4 linked regions of the Cricetulus griseus genome follow. The protein of the gene in region 1 purifies or fractionates together with the protein of each later gene. This does not show direct contact. Links are inferred from orthologs where the notes say so. Each region holds a gene or a part of one and is shown in the gene's direction. Other genes may lie near its edges.

The links.
Region 2: the proteins of Slc30a1 (region 1) and Xxylt1 purify together in Homo sapiens (co-immunoprecipitation; 3 studies listed by BioGRID and IntAct, with this or other methods). This does not show direct contact. The link is inferred for Cricetulus griseus from reciprocal best matches to the Homo sapiens genes SLC30A1 and XXYLT1.
Region 3: the proteins of Slc30a1 (region 1) and Clgn purify together in Homo sapiens (co-immunoprecipitation; 3 studies listed by BioGRID and IntAct, with this or other methods). This does not show direct contact. The link is inferred for Cricetulus griseus from reciprocal best matches to the Homo sapiens genes SLC30A1 and CLGN.
Region 4: the proteins of Slc30a1 (region 1) and Csgalnact2 purify together in Homo sapiens (co-immunoprecipitation; 3 studies listed by BioGRID and IntAct, counting the BioPlex papers as one, with this or other methods). This does not show direct contact. The link is inferred for Cricetulus griseus from reciprocal best matches to the Homo sapiens genes SLC30A1 and CSGALNACT2.

What each region holds. Positions count from the first base shown.
Region 1 is NC_048598.1:3,154,237-3,160,312, reverse strand, and holds the start of Slc30a1 (zinc transporter 1), read left to right. Parts: upstream 1-2,068; 5' UTR 2,069-2,410; coding exon 2,411-3,014; intron 3,015-4,464; coding exon 4,465-5,369; 3' UTR 5,370-6,076. UniProt on the Homo sapiens protein: Zinc ion:proton antiporter that could function at the plasma membrane mediating zinc efflux from cells against its electrochemical gradient protecting them from intracellular zinc accumulation and toxicity.
Region 2 is NC_048597.1:58,501,167-58,506,027, forward strand, and holds the end of Xxylt1 (xyloside xylosyltransferase 1), read left to right. Parts: intron 1-2,238; coding exon 2,239-2,635; 3' UTR 2,636-3,647; downstream 3,648-4,861. UniProt on the Homo sapiens protein: Alpha-1,3-xylosyltransferase, which elongates the O-linked xylose-glucose disaccharide attached to EGF-like repeats in the extracellular domain of target proteins by catalyzing the addition of the second xylose.
Region 3 is NC_048596.1:159,040,723-159,046,267, forward strand, and holds part of Clgn (calmegin), read left to right. Parts: intron 1-498; coding exon 499-575; intron 576-1,109; coding exon 1,110-1,168; intron 1,169-3,611; coding exon 3,612-3,753; intron 3,754-5,545. UniProt on the Homo sapiens protein: Functions during spermatogenesis as a chaperone for a range of client proteins that are important for sperm adhesion onto the egg zona pellucida and for subsequent penetration of the zona pellucida.
Region 4 is NC_048601.1:26,764,200-26,770,215, forward strand, and holds the start of Csgalnact2 (chondroitin sulfate N-acetylgalactosaminyltransferase 2), read left to right. Parts: upstream 1-1,802; 5' UTR 1,803-1,922; intron 1,923-1,972; exon of another isoform or gene 1,973-2,088; intron 2,089-4,220; exon of another isoform or gene 4,221-4,351; intron 4,352-6,016. UniProt on the Homo sapiens protein: Transfers 1,4-N-acetylgalactosamine (GalNAc) from UDP-GalNAc to the non-reducing end of glucuronic acid (GlcUA). Required for addition of the first GalNAc to the core tetrasaccharide linker and for elongation of chondroitin chains.

The sequences.
Region 1 (6,076 bases):
AGATGGGGCTGGAGTCTGGAAAGAGGACTTTCACACCCAAACATCTTCCAGGCTGGTCTGTTTAGCCCCCAAGGGGCAAGGCCTAGTTGGCAGGGCAAGTCTGCTTTACACGTTTACCTCTTTGTTTCTGCTTTGCAGAAACGGCTTTTTAAAGTAGTAGTTCTCAATCTGTGGGTCTCTACCCCCTGGGGTCAAAAGACCCTTTCTCAGGGGCTGCCTGAGACCTCAGAAAACTCAGACATTTATGATTCATAACAGTACCAGAGTACAGTTAAGAAGTAGCAACAGAAACAATTTTATGGCTGGGTGTCAGCACAACATGAAGAACTGTATTAAACTGTATTAAAGTTCACAGTGTTAGGAAGGTTGAGAACCACTGCTCTAAAGGAATACATCAATAAAGGGCCACATTAGGAAGCAAAATGGCCCACAAATGACCAGTCAGACACATAAGGACACCTTAACTGTAAGTGGCTTCCAATTTTAAATTTCTATTAGGCAGCTGGAAGGAAGTTTGAAGCTGTGGTTCCCACTTGTGTGAACATTCCCAGCTTTCACTCCCATTCCCCATCCAATAAAATACTGATTAAGGCAGCATTTCTCTCACCGGTTTCGAAACATAATTCTGTCAATTTCTCCCCTTTAGCTTTTTCCTTCCAACACCCAGTTACTCACCAGGCTCTGCCATTTCTGCCCTTATGGTGTTGGAAACCTTTCTCCAAGCTTCCCTTTTCAGCGAGACCGAGAAGACAAGGACGCCCATGAGAACATCTTGTACAAGTGAGAGGCAATCTTGGAATCAGAATTGCTGCCGGGCAGGCGGTGGTGGCGTCTTTAATCCCAGCACTCTGGGGGCAGAGCCCAGGCGGATCTCTTGCGAGTTCCAGGCCAGCCTAGCTTACAAGAGCTAGTTCCAGGATAGCCAGGGCTACACCGAGAAACCCTCTCTCGAAAAGCCAAAGAGCAGAATTTTTTTTTTTTATGCAAAAGAACACAGGCCATGCACATCCCGATGCAAAGACTAGCATCCAGGGAATCCTTCCTCAGGTTTGATAGCCACCTCTCTGTGGGACCTTTAACCACATAGATGTGCACACACACTCACTTAGAGGGCCAACTCCAACGAGTCTTTGCCCAACTTAGCAGGGGTGTTTTGGTTCGTAGTACCTTATCTGCCACCTTTCTTTTGTATTCTGGCCGCCCCTCCCCCTCCAAGCAGCCGACACAAGAGTTCGGAGGTTTGTAGCCGATAAATAGTGTGAAATCACAGAGCCTTGGAATTTTAGCTAGAAGGAAGAGGAGTTCCACTTGCCCAGCCCTTCCCTCCATTGATGAAGAAACAGGTGTGGCGAGATTAGGTGACCCGTCCAAGTCACGCAGCAGGCTCCCGCCCCAAGTCTGCACCCCACACCTTAGAGACTCAGTGACAGACAGGCCTGACTTGACACGGTTCCCCCGGGGAGGTGGCCCTGCGGGTGACCCGCTGGATGGAAACTGCTCCCGAGGCTGCGGTCGGGCCGCCAGCAAGCCAGTCCCCAGCTCAGCTCCCCGCCCGGCCGCGCCCCCGCCGGCCAGCACAGCCCGCACGGCCCGCACTCCCCGCCCCTCCCGGGCGCCGACCTGTCACCCAGCCGCCCCCACGTGCACCCGGATCACCCGGATCGCCGGATCAAAGTCTAGGGCGGGCGCGGCAGAACCGCAGCCCGGAATCCGCGGCGCGGGAAGCGGGAAGCGCTGAGCGCTCGCTGCGCCCCAGGGCTCGGCGCCGCCGCCCTGCCGCCGGCCCCTCCGCTGCACGCGGCCCGCGCCCACCCTCCCCCGCACCGCCCGCCGCTGCACCCGGCCGCGGCCCCGGCCCACGCCCGGCTCTCCAGAGCACAGGCCCCGCCCGCGGCTCCCGCGGCCTCGCCCCGCCCCCTCCCGCCCCTCGGCCGCGCCAGCCAATAGAGGCCGCGGAGGGGCGGGACGCCGCGGCTGTCGTGAGGCCGTCCTGGCCAATGAGGCTGCGAGCCGGGCCGGGGGGCGGGGCCCCGGGGCCTTGTCACGCTCGGGTCCGTGTGAAAACGGGGGTTCCGAGTGCAAAGCAAAGTTTTTTTGTAAACCGTCTGCAAAGGCGGGGGGGTTAAGAAGGCGGCCGCCGCCGGGCCGAGCGCAGTCGCCGCGGACGCCGTCTCCGGAGCGCCTCGGTCCGATGCTCGGCGGGCCCTCGGCGCGCAGTCACCCGCCCGCCGCGCCCTCGCCTAGTCCGTCCGCCGCCGCCGCCGCCCGCCACGCCACCGCAGAGCCGAGCCGAGCGCCGGAGTAGCTGCGCGGCCGGCGGTTTCCCCACAGCGCCGCTCCGGCTCCGGCTCCGGCTCCCGCTCCGGCTCCCGCTCGAGCGCCGCGCCGAGCCGAGCCTCGGGCCGCCGCCATGGGCTGCTGGGGCCGCAACCGCGGGCGGCTGCTGTGCATGCTGCTGCTGACCTTCATGTTCATGGTGCTGGAGGTGGTGGTGAGCCGGGTGACCGCGTCGCTCGCCATGCTGTCCGACTCCTTCCACATGCTGTCGGACGTGCTGGCGCTGGTGGTGGCGCTGGTGGCCGAGCGCTTCGCCCGGAGGACCCACGCCACGCAGAAGAACACGTTCGGCTGGATCCGCGCCGAGGTGATGGGCGCGCTGGTGAACGCCATCTTCCTGACGGGGCTGTGCTTCGCCATCCTGCTGGAGGCCGTCGAGCGCTTCATCGAGCCGCACGAGATGCAGCAGCCGCTTGTGGTGCTGGGCGTCGGCGTGGCGGGGCTGCTGGTCAACGTGCTGGGGCTCTGCCTGTTCCACCACCACAGCGGCGAGGGCCAGGGCGCGGGCCACGGACACTCGCACGGCCACGGCCACCTCGCCAAGGGCGCGCGCAAGGCGCGGCGCCGCGCCGCGGGCGAGGCGGGCGCGCCGCCGGGACGGGCGCCGGACCAGGAGGAGACCAACACGCTGGTGGCCAACAGCAGCAATTCCAACGGGCTCAAGGCGGACCCGGCAGGTGAGCGAGCGAGCGAGCGAGCGGGGCGGCGGGCGGGCGAGCGAGCGCCGGAGTGGTCGGGTCGGGTCCGGTCGGGACGGGAGGGCGCCCCCTGGCGAGCGAGGCTGGTGCCACGCCCCGCGCCCCGGTGCGCGGTGGTTCCGAGCCCACTGGACAAGTTTGATGCTGCGTTGCTAGCGGGGCGGTGTTGTGGGTGGGTGCTGGGTAAAGGCGGCCTTTGTGAGCGGCGGGGTGTGTGTTTCCTTGGACTGACCACCCAGTCCGGAAAATCACAGGTTAGGGACCTTGCCAGGGCACGTTGCGCGTCTGCCTCTTAGGGCTTTGGCTGGCAATCATGGTGCTAGACCATCATGATGGCGATGTGTTGTTTCCCTTGTGGTTTTTAGTGAGCGTTTTTCATCTTGAGCACTGGTGCTCTTGGCTGAAATTTGGAAGGTGAGTGTTGAGCAGGAGTGAGAAAGGACCAGCCGGCCCCGCCCAAGTTCGACGTGAACGTTTTTTGTGATCCTTGCCGTTTAAATCTGGCGAAATCACGCTAAGAGGCAGTTAGTTAAACTTCTCCAGTGTGTAACATACGTGTGCAGATGGTGCATGGGGAAGGTTTTCTCCTATTCCGAAGAAAATGAAACTACTCAGGTGTGCCCGTCTGACTCCAAGTTTTGTTTTGGGTTTTTTTGTTTGTTTGTTTTTGTTTTTCGAGACAGGGTTTCTCTGTGGCTTTGGAGGCTGCCCTGGAACTAGCTCTTGTAGACCAGGCTGACCTTAAACTCAGAGATCGCCTGCCTCTGCCTCCCAAGCCCTGGTATTAAAGGCATGTGCCACCACCGCCCGGCCTTGTTTTGGTTTTTTTGAGATAAGGTTTCTCTGTGTAATAACTTTGGCTGTCCTGGAACTCACTCTGTAGACCAGGCTGGCTTCAAACTCAACATGGATCTGCCTGCCTCTGTCTCTGCTGTGATTAAAGATGTGTGCCGCTGCCACCTGGCAATAGCCTTCAGTTGCCGATTTGTCAGTTTGTAAACCTTCTCTATAGAGACAGAATATGTATAATATTTATGATAAGCACTTGTCTCAAGCAGTCTGGCTAATGCTGCTAACAAGAGCTATGTCAGATCAGCTGTGTTAGAGGGCTTATCTCCTCAGCTGGGCTTAAGTGATGGCCTTAAGTTTTGTTTCTCTTTGTGTCAGAAAAGTACAGCAGAATGTTTACAGGTTACAAACCCAGTAGTGAGGGGCAGGGGAGGAAATGAGGAAACTTGCCTAAGGACACAGTTTAGTCCTCCCTGCTATGGCCTGGCAGTGCCCAGACTATCAGTCCATTGAGCATTGAGTGTTGTTTCTCAGCATACTTTTATTGTGCTTTTTAAGTTTCAACGTCTTCAACACTAGACAGGATGCTTGTCTGAGCACTCGCCATGTGTTTAATTAAAATCGTATTGCTTCATTGTAGAGTCAGAAAAGAACAGAAGTGATGACCCAGTGGATGTACAAGTCAACGGGAATCTTATCAAGGAGCCTGACAATCTGGAGTCGGAAGACAACAGGGCTGCACAGCTGAACATGCGGGGAGTGTTTCTGCACGTCCTCGGAGACGCCTTGGGCTCCGTGATCGTGGTAGTGAATGCCCTGCTCTTTTACTTCTTCTGGCAGGGCTGTTCTGAAGACAACTTCTGCATAAACCCATGTTTCCGTGATCCCTGCAGAACCTCCGTAGAGATCATCAACAGCACCCAGACGGTGGTTCGAGAGGCCGGTCCCTGCTGGGTGCTCTACTTAGATCCAACTCTGTGTGTGATAATGGTTTGTATACTTCTTTACACAACCTATCCATTGCTTAAGGAATCTGCTCTCATCCTTCTACAAACCGTTCCCAAGCAAATTGATATCAAACATTTGGTAAAAGAGCTCCGAGCCGTTGAAGGCGTTGAGGAAGTTCATGAGCTACACGTCTGGCAGCTTGCTGGAAGCAGAATCATCGCCACTGCTCACATAAAATGTGAAGACCCGACCTCATACATGCAGGTGGCCAAAACCATTAAGGATGTTTTTCACAATCACGGAATTCATGCTACCACCATCCAGCCTGAATTTGCCAGCGTGGGCTCTAAATCAAGTGTAGTCCCATGTGAACTTGCCTGCAGAACTCAGTGCGCTCTGAAGCAGTGCTGCGGGGCGCGACCTCAAGTCCTTTCTGCCAAGGATGCAGACAAGACCCCGGCAGTTAGCATATCTTGTTTAGAACTCAGTGAGAATCTAGAGAAGAAGCCCAGGAGGACTAAAGCTGAAGGCAGCCTCCCTGCTGTCGTGATAGAGATTAAAAACGTGCCAAAAAAACAGCCCGAATCATCTTTGTGAGTCTTGAAAAAAGATGTGATATTTGACTTTGCTTTTGAACTGCAAGAGAAAATAGACTCCATTGAAATACTAAGTTTTTGCCAAGTAGTGTAATTGAAGTCCTTGTCTGGTCGCACAGTTTAATTCTATTTTTGTAAGAACATAATGGAACTGCATAAGAGAGCGTTCTGCATTAGCGCCTTGTGATACTAGTGCATAGTGCAGCTACGCTGTAACACTTTGTGAAAGCCAGTTTTAACACTATGTTACATTTTTTGTTTAAAGTAAGTATAAACTTTATATGACATAATGACATTTGATTCCTGGTTTTCCCATGGTAAGAATTAGGGGGATAAATAAAATTGTTACTGGAATTTCTCTGCTTTTCTTCCCTCCCCCCAATTGTTATACATTATTTGTTAGAATTGTAACTGCTGGACCTCTAGAATCATCAAGTTTGTTTCCTTTGTTTGAGGGAATAGCTACTTGCCCTTTGCGATCATAAAACGTAACATAATGGCAGAGTTTCAGAATGACTCATGACTTAGCAGGAAATAAGAGCAGTTACTAGTCTGTATTCTCTACTGCTGAGTAGTAAACTGAGAACATTCTCAAAATGAATTAAGAGTTCACACATAGTGGAGCGTATAGGGGATAAGAGCAGGGAAAAAGCAAACTAGGTAGGCTATTATTTAATATTGAGATTTCATATCTAAATTATCTTGAAA
Region 2 (4,861 bases), on another chromosome or scaffold:
CAGACCCAGTGGGAACTTGGATTCCCAGTTCCCTGCCCACTTTTCCCCAAAATGTGCTGATCCCCATCCTGGCTCTTGGTTACAGAGTGCCTCTGTGTGCTGCCTGGTTCGGTGCTGGCCATTGAGTTCCTAGAGAGTCCCCCGGGTTATAGTTTCCACCTGGATATGTTCCATCTCCTCTCCCAAGCCTAGCAAGGTGGGAGCCAGGCCACCTTTTGGCTACTTTTGATACAGGGAGGGAAGATCTGGCGAGCCTCCAAGCAAGGGTCTCCCCCTGAACCCCAGCTGTGAACTCCATACTGAAGGGTAAAACCCTTATAGCTCATCTGAGCCCTTGTCCATGGTGGATGTAGTGCTCAGTGTGGTGACTCGGTGTCCTTACCCTGGCCTGCTTCCTGCTGCCACCAATACCAAAGGCCACACAGACTCACTCTTACCTTTTCATAGACATTTCTTGGTCACTTCACCCTGCCAAGGCCCTGTCATCAGGGACCCCGCCCCTCCAGCCAGCCCCTGATCTCTTCCAGGTCTTCTACAAGGGATGAAAGGAAGCAGTGGGCAGGATGGACAGAGATGAGCTGGCCTCCATAGCTGCCCCCCCCAGCTCTCTCTTCCTCCTTACAAAATGTCCCTGTCCCACCATTGGAAGAGGAACTCAGTACCTGGATGGTACAGCATCCACTCCCCAGAGGGTCCCTCCTCTACCTGGTAATGCTGTGGTGACCTAGGTCTGTCTAGTAGAATTGTAGTTAGCTTGCAATCTGACCCTGGAATTAACCATTTGGCGGTAGGGTAAAATGATGACGTGTTGGCATGCTTGTGGTCCCATCATGGCAGCTCTGTGGCCAGGAGGACCTCGGCGCCTCAGCTTGCTCTTAGAGCTTATCTTTACCAAGGGTGTTATCAGCAGACAGGTGCTGGGTCAGAGCCAGATCCCCACTCATCGCACAGCCCATTCCTGACCAGATGCTAACAATGAGCCTGTGTGCTCCACTGGTTGGTGTCCCAAAGGCGTGCTTATCCCTTGCCAAGATCAAATTGTCGGCTGCCTTTCTGACATGTGAGACCACAGAGAAGGCTTGTCTGTCCCTCACTGGGGTCATGTGTTAGAACCAGAGACTGGACCTGCTGCAGGCCTTGCATTCTGGGGCTCTGGCTTGCTTTTGACAAAAACTTACACGTCCTATCCTGTGAACAGTGTGATGCACTCTAGGCTGGTGTGGCCTAGATGCTCTCCCCACCCTGAGGACCCAGGCTCACACAGCCCACCCCGGGCGCTGCTGCTGAGCCTTGTCTGTGAGTACAGGTTTGGGGACCCCATGCCCCCATCACTGTAACATACAAGATCTTAGAAAGGCTAGAAAGCAGAGTGGCCAGTGCTCTAAACATGTCAATCACAGGAAGATTTCCAGATGTTTCTTCTTACCTCTAAATGGAAGTATTTGGACAAAGGCTGAGAAGGGTCATTTTTCCGAATCTGCCAGAGAAAGACAAAAATTGAGGTGGCATCCCTCCTAAATGCCATAGTCCCATGTGGCTCCATACAGCTGCTTTCACCCTGACTTGTAGATATATGTCCAGAGCTGTCTCTAGACCCCAGCACCTCAGAAATGCTAGGCTAAGGGTCATGAACGAAGCTTGTTCTAAAGCAGAAAGTGTTTGGTTCAGTCTGAGTTGTCTGCCTATGACTTCACCAACTGTCATTCAGCATCTCTTCTGTCTTGTGTCATCCTCTCTTAAGACTGTAACGACAGGGTGGGGAGTTCTACCACACTGCTGTCATTGAGCCAAAGGCCTAGCTTTCGTCTCTGCTTCTGCTTCTTACTGGCTATGTGGCTTTAGGCAACTTACGCCATCTTCCTGGGCAGTGTTTTCCTAGCTGTGTGGTGAGGGGTCATGTCACAGAGCACAGCACCTGGGAGAGGAGCAACCCCATTCAGCACATCACCAGTATTTGCCATCTCTACAGATTCTAACACGATGGCAGTGACCATGATGACCTCATCAACATGGTCATCCTGAGGTGGCAGAGGGTATGAGACTTAGAGCTGGGGTTGGGGCTGATTCAGGCTCTCACTGTGCTGCCTGCTGGCAGTGTGATGCAGATGCTGAACCCCAGAGAGCCTCTACTTTTGTCACTGAAACAGAGGGTAAGTGGCCATTGGGAAGGCCCAGGAAGCAGGTCTGGTAAGCTCATTCACCCTGACCTGGGATAATGCTGTTTTTCCTCCTTCACAGGCACACATTCTGGCAGTTCCGCCATGAGAACCCCAAGACTAGAGTTGGGGACCCTCCGCCTGAGGGGCTCCCTGGCTTCAACAGTGGAGTAATGCTGCTGAACCTAGAGGCCATGCGCCAGTCCCCGCTTTACAGCCATCTGCTGGAGCCTGCACGGGTACAGCAGCTTGCAGACAAGTACCACTTCCGGGGCCACCTTGGGGACCAGGACTTCTTCACCATGATCGGCATGGAGCACCCTGAGCTCTTCCATGTGCTGGATTGCACTTGGAACAGGCAGTTGTGCACCTGGTGGAGGGACCATGGCTACAGCGATGTCTTCCAGGCATACTTTCACTGTGAGGGCCATGTCAAGATCTACCATGGGAACTGCAACACCCCTATCCCAGAGGACTAGGACCCAGCTCACCCACTATGCCTATGGGGCTCCCGGACATGGGGAAGGAGGAGTGACTCTGCAAGGATGCCCTTGGGATCCAGGTGCTGCAGGCCCCCCAGCTGTCCAGTCCCTGTCCAGTGGCCATCCAAAGAAGCTTAGCTGAGCACTGCTGGAGCTCAGGTTGTTTCCCTTCAGGGCATTGTGAAGGACAGACACAGATGTCTTCCAGGATGTAGCTGAAGATACAAAGGACAAGATTCCCTTGTCCACATCCTTTTGAAAGAACTGGCTTTTGCTAGACCAAATAAGTGTTTAACTTAGATAGGCAGGCTTCTGTTTTGTGAGAAGAAACAAGTCGTGCTGCTGTAGTCCCAGTGAGCACTGAGCCAGTGAGTCAGGGCTTTAACAAGTAGCCCAGAGTTTAAGCCTCCGAAGGAATGCCACAGTCCCACAATCTTTCCCAGGAGGCTTTGCACCTCCTCTCCAGATGTTCTTGTTGCTTGGTGCAGGCTTCGAGGGCAGCATCTCTTTAGGTAAGGCCTCTTGGGCTGCTAGGGAGCCTATAATAACCCCTTATTGTAGCACTCAGAGCTCTTAGCTCCCCCAGCGTATCCAGGAACCCATTTTCCCTTGTCTGTCCACCTCCTCCCCGTGACCTGGCTGTACTAAGGAATCAAATTCACTGTCAAAGAACAGAGATTGGCCATGCTGAGGCACGCACTTGCAAAGGGCTGGCCTATGGTCTCACTGGTCTCTGGTGTGGAAAACAGACAGACCCATACTTTCCCATGGCACTGTGCCAGGCCTACCCCTACAGAAGAGTGCACCATTCCTTTATTTGTGCTTATAATGGGCTCTGTAAGTCAGCTGTCCACATGAAGCCACCACAGGCCATGCCATACAGTCCAGCTCATGTCCTCAGGCAAGAAATGTTCAAGTCTCATTATATTTTCTTTCAGTTTCATTGACTTTTAAATTTCCTTTCACCACAAGTGAGAATAGCTAATAAATAATCTTTGAGAACACTTGACTCATGTTGTTTGTTCTATGATCAGAGTTTCCAGGGCCATGGGGGCTCTGAATGAAGACTGGAATCAATATCAATCAGAGGGCCTAAAAGGACCAGCAGGAAGGCCTGCCTGTGGGTGGCAGTGAGGTGGTATTGCTGTGTTTGGTTCTAAGTATAGAACCATTTCATTCTAGCTATTGGTAGATCCATCTGCTGCCGGCGATGAAGCAGCCCCTCTCTGAGTCCTGCTCCTTAGCCGAGACCTCCCAGCTGCATCTGTGCCCGGGGAGGTGGCACACACACGCCTTCACTAGCCCACTGCCGGGGCCGGTTCATCTGTTCTCCTGGCTACTTGATTTCCTATTTATAGCTTCTGGTTATTAGATGCCTGCTGTGTGCCGGGCACCGTCTTGAGGATTTATATGAGCTCTAGATCATATTCATGAAAACCTTAGCAAGTTCATTCCAGTTCTAAAACTTATTATGAAAACAGAGGTATGGATAGAGCTCTGTGTGTTGTTACTGCAGCTTTTTACTGTGCAAAAAATGTTGGAATTAGCTTGAAATTCTGACTAGGGAAGTACATAAATAATGCATTAGGCAACCAATAATGGAATATGTGAAAAATCATTTTAAGCAATATTTAGTGTTCCAGGAAATACTTACACTAGTGAGTAAAGAATACAAAACATAGAAGATTGTATGTATGTCCTTTTTATTTTTTAAATTACACATTTGAATTTATATGTATATGTATACAAACATGTGCATACATGAAGTACGTATGTGTGAAAAGAGGGAGATTCAAGAATAAGCCTGTTGTGTATTTTATTGATTTCAACTCCTCACACACATTAACAAAACACTTATCCCAATAGGGGGAAAGTATATTAAAGTCCAGGGAGTTTCTTTAACTCACAATAACAGCAGAATTTTTCATCAACAATTAAAGCATTTCCAAAGCTATAAAAGAAAAAAAGTAAGCCATATACTCAGAGCACACCACCATCCCCCACTTACTCTGTGCATGCGCGCAAGCGTGTGTGTGTGTGTGTGTGTGTGTGTGTGTGTGTGTGTGTGTGTGTGTATGTTGTAGGACAACACAAAGGACAAGTTTGTAGAGTCAGTTCCCTCCTTCTGCATTTGCATAATGTCTTAGTTTGGGTTTCTAGTGCTATGAAGAGACACCATGACCACGGCAACTCTTACAAGGAAAACATTTCATTGGGGTGGCT
Region 3 (5,545 bases), on another chromosome or scaffold:
AAACAGGAAGTTCTCACAGATTCCTTTGCTTCATCTCATCTTATTGGGTTTTTAACATGCAAATAAATGTTATTATCGGTTTGCAGTAACTATTTTGCTTCCCCTTTAAATTTTAGTCTCTGCAAAGATATTTCTTTTGAAACTTAGTTCTGTGATTTACAAAGCAATGCTTGACAAACCATCACCTGGGTCAAACATCTATTACAGGGGTCTTTAAAAGTTCACACTTAAAAATTGACATGTGCTCACCACTCATAAGTATATTTGGTGAGATGACAAGAAATTGGAAAAAACACTTAAATTTTCATTACCAGACATCAATTGTACAAAATAACAGGTTTCATTATGACATTACTAAGACATGAGCTTTGCAACCAGAGCCCATGCCAGCCGGGATCTCTACTGCCCATGTGTACTGTGTACTAGGTTCCGAACAATCAGGCTGACTTCAGATATTTGCAAAAATGAGTAACTTTGGCTTAAAAATCTCTTTTCTAGACAATTATATATAAGACACCTCAACCTATAGGAGAAGTATATTTTACAGAAACATTTGACAGTGGAAGGCTGGCTGGGTGAGTACTCCTGCAAGAGCACATTTTCTTCAATTTGATGGGTTTTCTGAAGCTATTAGTCTGTGAGAATTAGCTCTCCTGTGACTGTGGAATAATTTAAAGCTATGAATTTATACAAAGACAGACACAAATTCAGAATGCAAAGGAAGCACATGGCATTTCCTTGCTCTCTGGGGTAGATATTGTGGAGATTCACAAGACAACTGAGTTATGTTCAGCCACAGTGATGGTATGCCTATCTGTAGCAGTTAACACCCGTTGACTAGTATGCTCCAGACCCTCTGCTGGTGGTTCAATATGTACTCCATTCCCTCCACCCCACGGGAGTTTACTCCCACACACATACTCAAGAGCAGATTCCGTGCCTCCTGGGATTGTGCAAAGGCTAGATTTACCAATTAACTTCTTGGCACTAATTCATTTTAAATAAAAACTGATTATGTTGGGTGTCTTTTCGTATTTTTTACATTCATTTTATCTATAAATTGCAAATCTTATTTCAATGGCAGTATCTGTCTTCGCCTTTACTTACAGGTGGGTCTTGTCAAAAGCAAAGAAGGATGACATGGATTCAGAACTTTCCATGTATGATGGTAAAATACTTACTTAAATATTAGATAACAATAACTCATGTTCACTAGCCTTTGAGATTATATTTTTGTTAAATTATGTTGGCCAGAAGGACCAGCCAGCTGTCACAGGGAAATGTTCAATTTTACACCCTGTTCCTCTTCAGTGTTTCAGGGATTGCTGGGTTGAGCCAGTTTTCTGATTCTTAAATTGTAGTTGGACTTTGACCCCAGGGTGTTAGCTTGCACTGCTGTTCTGGGTGATTCACCCCAAGCCTGGGCACTCATAGATCAAGAGCAGAGTTGTTAATGAGCACTATAAGATAGTGGCCACCTCTGCAGCCACAGCCTCAAGCCTTGACCATCATCCATAGGACTCCTGATGGGGCTGCTTCAGGCGTGGCTGTGGAAGTGACTTTCAAGGTCATATTTTCTTCCCTAGAAAGACCACCTTGGGCCGGGTGGTGGTGGAGCACACCTTTAATCCCAGCACTTGGGAGGCAGAGGCAGGCAGATCTCTGTGAGTTCTAGACCATCCTGGTCTATAAGAGCAAGTTCCGGACAGCCTCCAAAACCACAGAGAAACCCTGTCTTGAAAAAGAAAGGAAGGAAGGAAGAAAGAGAGGCTGAACGACCACCTTGGAGAATGACAAAAGAATGTCTCCCTTCTGGTCTAAAAGCGTCATGTAACCTCTGCTGTTGGGAACCAGGAGGGGAACCCCACTGTCTAGGAGTTCCTCACACCGTTAAGCATAAATAAGGCCTAGACCTCAGATTCAGCAGGTGGTCCCTTCGGAGCATGTGCTAGACTTGAGTCGTCAGTGTCCTTCTTACAGCTTCTGTAATTGTGTAAGATGGAGACCATGCCCACCTGTCTCCCTCTATACAGCATGTTTTCAGTCCCAGCAAACAAATTCCTCCTGCCACCATGTGTGTATACTCCACATGAGACCATGTGTGGACCAATCTAAAGCCACTTACAAAATTCTTCCCATCAAAGAAACAATGAGTCCAAGGGATATAATGCTAAAATTGATCTAAATAAGCCTAGTATTGCTAAAAAAAAAACCAGAATGTTTGATTTAAGCAACTGTGTTTAAGCACTTCACAGTTGTTTTTTGTTTTGTTTTGTTTTTTTAAACCAAGTAAAATATTCACTTTAGAAAAATAAAAGATTAGGGTATGCTTTAAGGAAACCTGCAAGCATTTATTTTATTTTTAAGATGGGTCTTGCTATATAGCCCAGGTTTCCCTAAATCATGTCATCCTTCTGCCTTAGCTATCTGAGTGACAATGTGATTACAGGTATGTACAACAATCCCAATAGTGTCTACAAATGACAGACTAAAACTCAAGCTGCTTTGATCATGAGACTTGTGATAGTTTCATTGTTTTTAGAAAGAAAAAAGCAGTCTAGAGCATTAGTGATTTAAATGTGCCTGTAAAATAATTGTGAGTTGAAACATTATAGCAAAATAACCATCTTTTGCTGGATTGAGTTTAGTTAGAACAGACAAACATAATTTTCAAACATATAATTTTGAAATGAACATAAGTTAATTTTTTCCCCTGTTTTAAAAGAGTGATGCCCAGCACAGAACTCTGGGGCTCCAGTTTGCCCACCTGGCTCACAGCCTGTGTAACCCACGGTCTCACCCACTGCAGGAACACAGCCCAGAGCCCTAGCTTGATTTGCTGCTTGCTGGCTTAGTGCTTCTCTGGGGTGTCACTGCTTCCTGGCCCAAAGCTCACCCAGCCACATGGCTTAATAGGGAAGGGTTTGTGTGATGAGATAGTCTTCAAATGCAATTTAAGTACCTACAGAATGCTATGAGAATCCTTGAAGAGTGCATGCATTTCCTAGTAAACTCAGCCCAGGGACAGACTGCCCACTTTGTGTTAAAGATGCACATTGTCTCATACACATTTTTAACGATCTCATTTTAGTTTCATTTTTTTTTTCTCATTTTAAGTGTCTGGACAAGGCAAACTTTGCTCTTGGTCAAGAAGGTGCACTTGGAAGAGCAAACCCACACACAGGAAGTACACTGGCTTTTATATCTCATTTCTTAGAGTCAGCATTGATAGTACTTATGAGATAAACCATATTTTATCATTTATTTTACTGAAAATATGTCAAGAAAACCTAATTGCATCTATTGTAGAAGTGTACCTTCTTCCAAGTTTGGCCTAAGGAAATGAAACCAGTTTCTGAAAAATGACAAGAAAGAGGAAAGGGGGTTGTCAGGGAGGAAAGGGTGAGACAGGAGGGGAGATGAGGGGGGAAAAATGAGAAGGGGAAATGAGGAGTGGGTGGAAAGAGGGGGAAAGGAAGGGGAATACAAAGAGCAGGTACTATTTCCTGATGTATTCTTCAGTTCTCATGGCAAAGATCACTGCTAACAACTGCTGAGCTGTGGTTTTCTGGGTCTTCTGTTTGACTCACTTGTTTTGCTTTCTCATTTAGGAAGATGGGAAATAGAAGAGCTGAAGGAAGACCAGGTCCCCGGCGACCGAGGCCTGGTTCTGAAGTCTAAAGCCAAGCACCACGCAATATCTGCCGTCCTCGAAAAACCCTTTATTTTCTCTGATAAACCTTTGATAGTTCAGTAAGTGTTAAGACTGAAGTGTTAATTTGAATTAGTTTGGTATCATTTGGCATATGAATATGTGTTAGTTTTGGTGCTGTGTACAAAAAAATCCCCACATTTCCCTTTCCAGGTTCTTAGACAAATACACCTATACATAACCACACCCTGGGCCTTGGGGGCAACCAGCTCAGTGGTAAATTCCATGTCACATGTCTTATATGCACAATTCTGTCACCATAAAGTACAGTGAAGCCACTACTTTTATCTTAGTTTTTCTCATTCCTTGCTGATAAGATAGTCACCTCAGGACATTCAGAAAAGAACCACAAATATGGCCAGTTTACAGTTCTGTTCATGCCTAGCCACTCAAAGAAGCAGATTGAGTCTACAAGAACTGTGTCTGCAGGTCAGGGTCATTCAAGCTGGGAGCTCTCTTAAGAGCCCCATGCTGTCAGAGACTTCTCTTCTCCTGCACAGACATGTAAGCCATGTGGCTTGCATGTGTACTGCCCTGAGGTCAAGTATAATTCCCCAGCTTTCTCTCATCTGTAGGGCTGTGAAGCCAAAATGAAGTTCGTAAAATAAAGGCATTTGCATGTGTTACTGGTAAGTTCCATTGTGTCTGGAACTACCGCAGGTTAAAAAGTGTCCTACAGAAATAGCAGTAGTGCCTGCCAGCCCCCAGACTCTCAGTTCTCTGCCAACCCAGTGAACAGCATTCCTTCCTGGGATTAGCCTACTCTAGATGAATCCATTTCAGTGGCTGTTCAATACCAAGTAAAGACAAGGAGGGATTCCCTGTTACCTGGACTAATTAAAATAACATTACAAAAATTTAGTGGGACCAGTATCCACGTGGGTATTATTACTAATTTTAGGATTTGGTCTGATTTTTGTTTTGCTGATAACTTCTTTCCTTTTTCCTTTTTCCTCTCTGTGATATGTGGAGGTGGCAGGGGTCAGGGGCGTTGAGTGCAATTGTATGTGTGTGTGTACATATGGAAGCCAAGCCCAAGGTTAATGGTGTGTGTGTGTGTGTGTGTGTGTGTGTGTGTGTGTGTGTGTGTGTGTGTGTGTACTTGTGCAGGCCTAAGGCTGATGCTTGGAAAATCATCCTTGATGCAATTCTACCTTGTTCACTGAGACAGTTCTCAATCTATATAACATGTCTTCCTAGCCAGCTTGCCTGGTGAATCTCCTGCCTCCACCTTCTGAAACTGGAATTACAGGCTGGCCTCTGTGTTCACCCAGCATTTTACATGGGTTCTAGAGATCTGAACTCTGGTGTCAAGCACTTTAACTACTGAGCCCTCTCCCAGCCCTTCCTTGAGACTTACTATTATTTTCTTAAAAGTTGGGTGTATATAGCATCACTTAATGAATGTACTCTTGGTTTGAAAAGGGTTGGACAGGAAACCAATACAAAACTCATGTAGTGTTTCCCTGGGAGTCACTGATAAGAAAATGATGTCTTGCCAGATAAGAAGCAAACCGAAAAACATCCAAAATTTTCCAAAACAACTGTGAAATGATTGCTTTGAAAAAATAAAGAGGATCAAGAATTGAACAACAGTCAAATGGGCTGAAGTGAAAATATTTTATGTTAAATGCTATAATTGGCACATGGTTTTATGGTGCCTTTTCCAGTTAAGTGCATGTTAATACATGGTGAGCATGCCTAATCTGAAATCTGAAATGCTTTGAAATTTGGAACATTTTCCAACCTTTGTGACTACTCATTCATATAATGACAATTTTGTACTACTTTTTTTGTTCTACATATGTATCCTGTGTGGTGTTTGATATTTTA
Region 4 (6,016 bases), on another chromosome or scaffold:
AGACCATGGGTTTGAACTACTAGTGCCAAAGCTAACTGGCATCATTGTTCTCTAACATTTAATGAGACGCCCATTTATATTTATTAGTACTTTGAAGAACTTGAGTCTTACCTTAGAAATTTAGCAGTGCTGTGCATGTTACCATTTGCTGGAGGTCCCCATGCTTCAAGTCTCCTAGGAGAGACCTCTGTTGCATCTCTATACTCACACTCCTAAGTTGGGTGCTCACACTCGTGTGACAAATAGCACGACAACCCCACGTGCTAGGGACGCTTTAACCAGATTCACATGTAGATAGTCTTCACACAAGTGCTTGCCCTGCTAACTGGGAAGAGAGATGACTAGTGAGAGGCTGCTGACCCAACCAACACACCTTCTCCTCAAGGAAGGTTGGTACTGAACACGGAAAAGATCCCCCCACATGTTTTCATTTTACACAGTTCTGTTTGGTGAATATAAGGTACTAGGGGGTGAAAAGGCTGGCCTTGATGCAGGCAGAGTGGCCATTCTGAAGCCGTGGGGCTTTGCTTAGGATTTTGCTTTCACAAGAAATCTTTTTTCTTTCTCTCTTCTTGTGGTTCTTGCTACTTCAATACCAAGGAAGTTGAATTCACTTATCCATCATGAAAGGGAAAAAATTAAAAAAAAAACAACAACAACCAACTATGATGGAGTTGAAACTAAAAAAAGGCAGGATGGGGGCTTTAGATGCTCTTTTCTGTGTCATGTGTCCCTTTGCCTACACTCCTTATTTCTATTTCTGAATTAATTCGAATAAAATGACTTTTTAAAATTGCATTTAATCCTCACAGTTTTAGGAAACATGTATTATTGTGATTGGCTGCTAAACAGATGAAAAAAAACCTCAGAGTCAGAGGGGCTAAGTCCAAGTAGTCTGCCAAAACAACCCTGCGAAGAAAAAACAACCAGAGTGGAACAGACACCAGAGCTGCCTCTTGGCACCACCACATTTTACCCAGACACACGAGGGCCTTATGCAACTAGCCTCTGACCTGCTTACACTAGTATTCATGGTGGTCACTGCCTTGAGAATATTCCCCGAGCAATCATTTGCATAGAAGCAAGAGCGGGAGAGGTTTGTTTTTGTTTTTATACTTACTAAAATCATACAACTTCAGTCTTTAAAACCGTTTGTTTACTAGACTGTCTACTTAAATGCCATAATTTGACATATAAGGAAATGGAATGGCTAACCCAAGTGCCATTGGCAGACTAGGTTCGTTGACTAGGGCCCAGCTCGCCTGAGAATACTCAGACAGCTCTGGAGACATAGGGGTCCCTAACAAAGCACCCCAAAACTTATAGAAGTCTCTTAGGGTTCCTGGGACAGGGCCCTGCTACACATTGCTGCAAGTCTTCTGGCAGGGATCTCCAAAGCCAATCGCCATTTGATCTGATACTCTAAGTCCCTGCAGGAGTTTGGTTTTCTTCTTTCATGCTTTTTTTGGAGGTCCACAGGCACTCGGTTTTTTGTTTGGTTTTAGATGAATCAACACTGTCAATAGTGGAGCTTTCTGGGCCAGGCATAGGACAGAAGGAGGGATGGGCGTGTCCTGGCTGTAACGTGCGCGGTCTGGCCATGGAAGGCGGGACTTGGCAGTGAAAGGCGGGGCCTGGATGTAGAGGGCGGGGCCTGGCCTTGGAAGGTGAGGCCTGGTCGTGGAGGGAGGAGCCTGAATATGGAGGGCGGGACCTAATCATGGAAGGCGGGACCAGGTCGTGGAGGGCGGGGCCGGGCTGTAGGGGCCAGGCGCGCGCGGCGGCGCCACACCCTCATTTCCCTCATTTCCTCGCGCGCGCCGGAAGTGGCGGTGCTCCGCGGCGGCGCGCCGGGCCGGCCAGCGCAGGGCGCTGGCCAGGTGTGCAGTTCCCCAGGGCGGCGGCGCTGAGCGGCGGGCGCGGTGAGTACCGCCCTCGCCTGCGGCGCCTCTGGCCGGCGGCCCGCCGGTCCCCTCCGACGAGCCCTCCCGGACGGGACGCAGCCGGGCGCGGCGCTTCCCTGACGTGCCCTCCCGAGTCTGGTGCGGCTTTAGGAGACTGCTGCTGCCAGAGATCGTTGGTTTGCGTGTCAGTTGTGTTTTGTTTTGTTTTGTTTTTTTTTTTTCTAACCTACTCGCCGTCGCCTCTGCTGAGTGGCTAAACTTTTTACTGTGGGGTTAAAAGCGTCCTCTGGCAGCAGCCCTCCTGGCTCTGACAAAACGGCCTCCTTTAAAAGATGCTCTTGGAGTAGGAGTCGGTGACCCCCAGAGCCCGGAGAAACGGGGGATTGTCAGGATGACCAGATAGTTTGGAAAATTCCCGCATTTCTGAGCAAGCGGCTGAGCAGCACCACAGCGATGCTTGTGTTTGTGGTGATGGTACTGGCAGCATGACAGTTAACTTGGTTGCAAATCTAAAGCTTTCCCTCTGAAGCCCTGTTAAATCTAGAGGTGTCTTTAGCCTGCTTTTGAAGTGTGCGTGTGTGTGCAGTGTCTTGATTGACAGTGCGTGTCGTTGAAGGCCCCTGGGCCTTTAAGTCCTTGTAGATTGATGCTGCCTTTTAAAGATTTATTAAGATAGCACCTTCGGTTTGGGAAGTGACAAGAAGTGTTTTATGGCAGGAACATTTTGTATTATTATCCGCTACTACTTTTTTAAAAAGTATGTGACTAAAAGAAAGCAAAAAGGATGTTGGATTTCCGGTATATGTGGCTTACAGGATTTGAAGCAAAACAGGCAACTTTAGTTTTGAATAATTTAGAGATTACCTTTTTTCCTTCTTCACTTCTTTTGTGGAGATATAAAATACACACGAAGTCAACAAGTGCATAAAAATTAACTGTATATAGGTCACTGACTTTACATGCTTATTACAGTGTTTCCTACTACACACATCAGATTGTAACTGTAGAACATTTCCAGAGTGCTCTGCTTCTTCCAAATCGGTTGTACCCCTGCCTCCCCATCTGTATTCTGACTTCTCTCCTCCACCTTAGTTTGGTTATTTTGAACTTAACATTAATGGAGTTAATATGTAGTGTTCTCAGAATATTGCTTGTGGAAGTCACTCTTCATGGTTTTTTTGGTATGGTGTCATTCGTATCGTGGTATGGTTGTTGATAGTTCTTTTGTAGTGTTCCATTGTGTAGTGTGACTGTTCTGTTCATGAGCATGTGTGCTTCCCGTTTTGTGTTTTATGTGTTTTAGGTATTAAGGATGTTGTGACATTCTTGTAAATATCTTAGTGAGTATGTGAATACATTCCTGCCAGATGTAGAATAAATGAGACATAACTAACACAATGGACTCTTTCTTGTAAAAATGTAACAGAATCTCTTAACTAATTACAACAGTAAAGGCTGGTTTTAAAAGTATAGCTATTATGAGTTAAGGCATGGTTGTGCACACCTTTAATCCCAGCACACAGGAGGCAGAGGAAGGCAGATCTCTGTTAGTTCCAAGCCAGCCAAGGATACACCCTGACACACTGTCCCAAAAAAATGTTATATTCATTATAGTTACTATGTACACTTTGTATTTGCACCAGTGACAATCTTCTCAAAGATTCATTACATTTAATTATCTTTTAGCCACAAGTCAGTTAGAGCAGGCCATGATAAGACTGTTCAGTTTGATAACAGTTAGGTAATTATATTACTCAAGCTAGTGGTTATTAAGGGAAATGTGGTAGCTGTCAGAGGAAATGAAGTACCAAAGGATATAGCTAAAAATGGATTGGAGAATCATGAGATTTCAAGACTATATATAGTTACTGTCATGCAACACAAGTACTAGGTGTAAGTATAAATTGAATTAAATTAATTATGAGGTTACTTTAGGATGTGAATTTATTTATTATACTAGTATAATATATAGTATATTTCCATAACAGAACAAAAATTACTAAACATTTGTAGGAAGCCAGATCATGTAATCTGGGAAAATACAAGAAGCAATTGAGTTGAGGATTTTTAAATATTAGTACCCTCAAGTTTGGAGAGGTAGTTTGCCTACTAAACACACACACACACACACACACACAGAGAGAGAGAGAGAGAGAGAGAGAGAGAGAGAGAGAGAGAGAGAGAGAGAGAGAGAGAGAGGAAGAGAGAGAGAGAGAGAGAGAGAGAGAGAATATCGATCCATCAGGAGAAAAAATATTGGCAAACATAAATAATTTCTGGTTTGTTTTTTTTTCCTCTATCTCAGAGAGGATCTGAAATACTACTTTTCAAAGGGCTCATGGAAAAATAGGCACCTGTGCTAGCAGATCCTGATTGCCGCTCTCCTACCAACTCACAGAAGATACCAAAAATATCAAGAAAAGAAGGATATTTCTCAAAGCAGAAGTGTATGAGTTTATGAGTGAATTGATATACCAAAATTCTTAATATTGTTGAATACACACTTAAATACTGTCTAATAAAATTTATGAACTGTGGAGATAAATACATAATTTTATAAGCTTCTAAAAACAATGTTATATGTATTTATAAAGGACTAGAAGTCAAGATTTCCCAACATTGTATGACAGTAGTGTAGTGTTCTAAAGAGCCTATGGTAACAGGGCATGGTCATGTAAGTGTATAATCCCAGCACATGGTAAATTTTGAAGATTATGAATTCAAGGCCAGCCTTGACTACATTAGGAGAGTCTGTCCCAGAAATGAAATCAATCAAACAAACAAAAATGCCCATAGGACTATTTTGAACTTGGAACCTTATCTTTAAACAAAATCATTTCACCCACATTCAGTAGAATATACAGGATATACTGTATCAGATTAAAAATTTGGGAAAAAAATATATGGAATTCAAAGAAAACAGTGAAACATTTCTTAGCTCCAAGTTGTAAATAAATTTAACTAAGAAATTTAAATGTAATGTTAACGATTTTTTAAGACTTTATTTGTTTGTTTTGTTTGGGGTTTTGTTTTTTGTTTGTTTGTTTTTGCTTTTCAAGACAGGGTTTCATTGTGTAGCCCTGGCTGTCCTGGAACTTGAGACCAGGCTAGCCTCAAACTCAGAGCTCTGCCTGCCTCTGCCTCCCAAGTGCTGAGATTTAAGGAGTACACTACCATGCCCAGCCTGAATTTTTAAGTCTTTAATAAACTGAAGAAAAATTTTAATTTAGCAGTTAGTCAGCTTTCCATTATTGTGATAAACTATTTGAAGTAAAAGGGAAAGGGTTTTTTCTCAAAGTTTCAGCTTCTGTTCACTTGGCCCTGTTGCTCTGGTTCTGTGGCAACATTGTCAACATGGTAGCAGAAACATGTGGCTTACCTTGGGGCCAAAAAGCAAAGAGTGAGGAAGTACACAAACTTCAATGTTCCCTCCAAGAGCACACTCTGTAAGTGGTTAGTAATGATTGTGCTACTTCTCAATAACACTGTAGGCTTAGTTTGGTGAGACATTCCAGATCTAAGAGAGCAATTGAAAAGTAGAAAGTAGTTAAAGGCATATTGGAAGCTTGTCCTGGGCAAGGACATTATAGAAACTGATTACATTCAAGGAAATTTAGGCAGCAGTTACATTTCAGGGATTTATGTGGTAGTGAAATACTGTGTTCAAAGTTAGGTATGTGAAAACCATTCATGCCAAGATTCTTAATAGTGGCAAAAATTTTGGAAGGATACACACAAATTGGGAGGTTGGGTAGAAGAGAGACTTGTCACTCTATACCCTTAATTCGTGTGTGATTTTGTTTTGTTTTGTTTTTCAACACAGGATTTCTCTGTGTAACAGCCCTAGCTGTCCTAGAACTTACTTTGTAGATTCGTCTGCTTCTGCCTCCTGAGTGCTAGGATTAAAGGAGTGTGCCATCATGCCTGGCTACGTTTAACCTTTTTTATCCTGTTCATTTACTTTATGATGTTTTGTAGAACACACCTTTAATCCCAGCACTGGAGAGGCAGAGGTAGGTGGATCTCTTTGAGTCTGAGGCCAGCCTGGTTTGCAAAGTGAGTTCTAGGACATCCAGCCTGTGCTGTTACACAGAGAAACCCTGTTTCAAAAA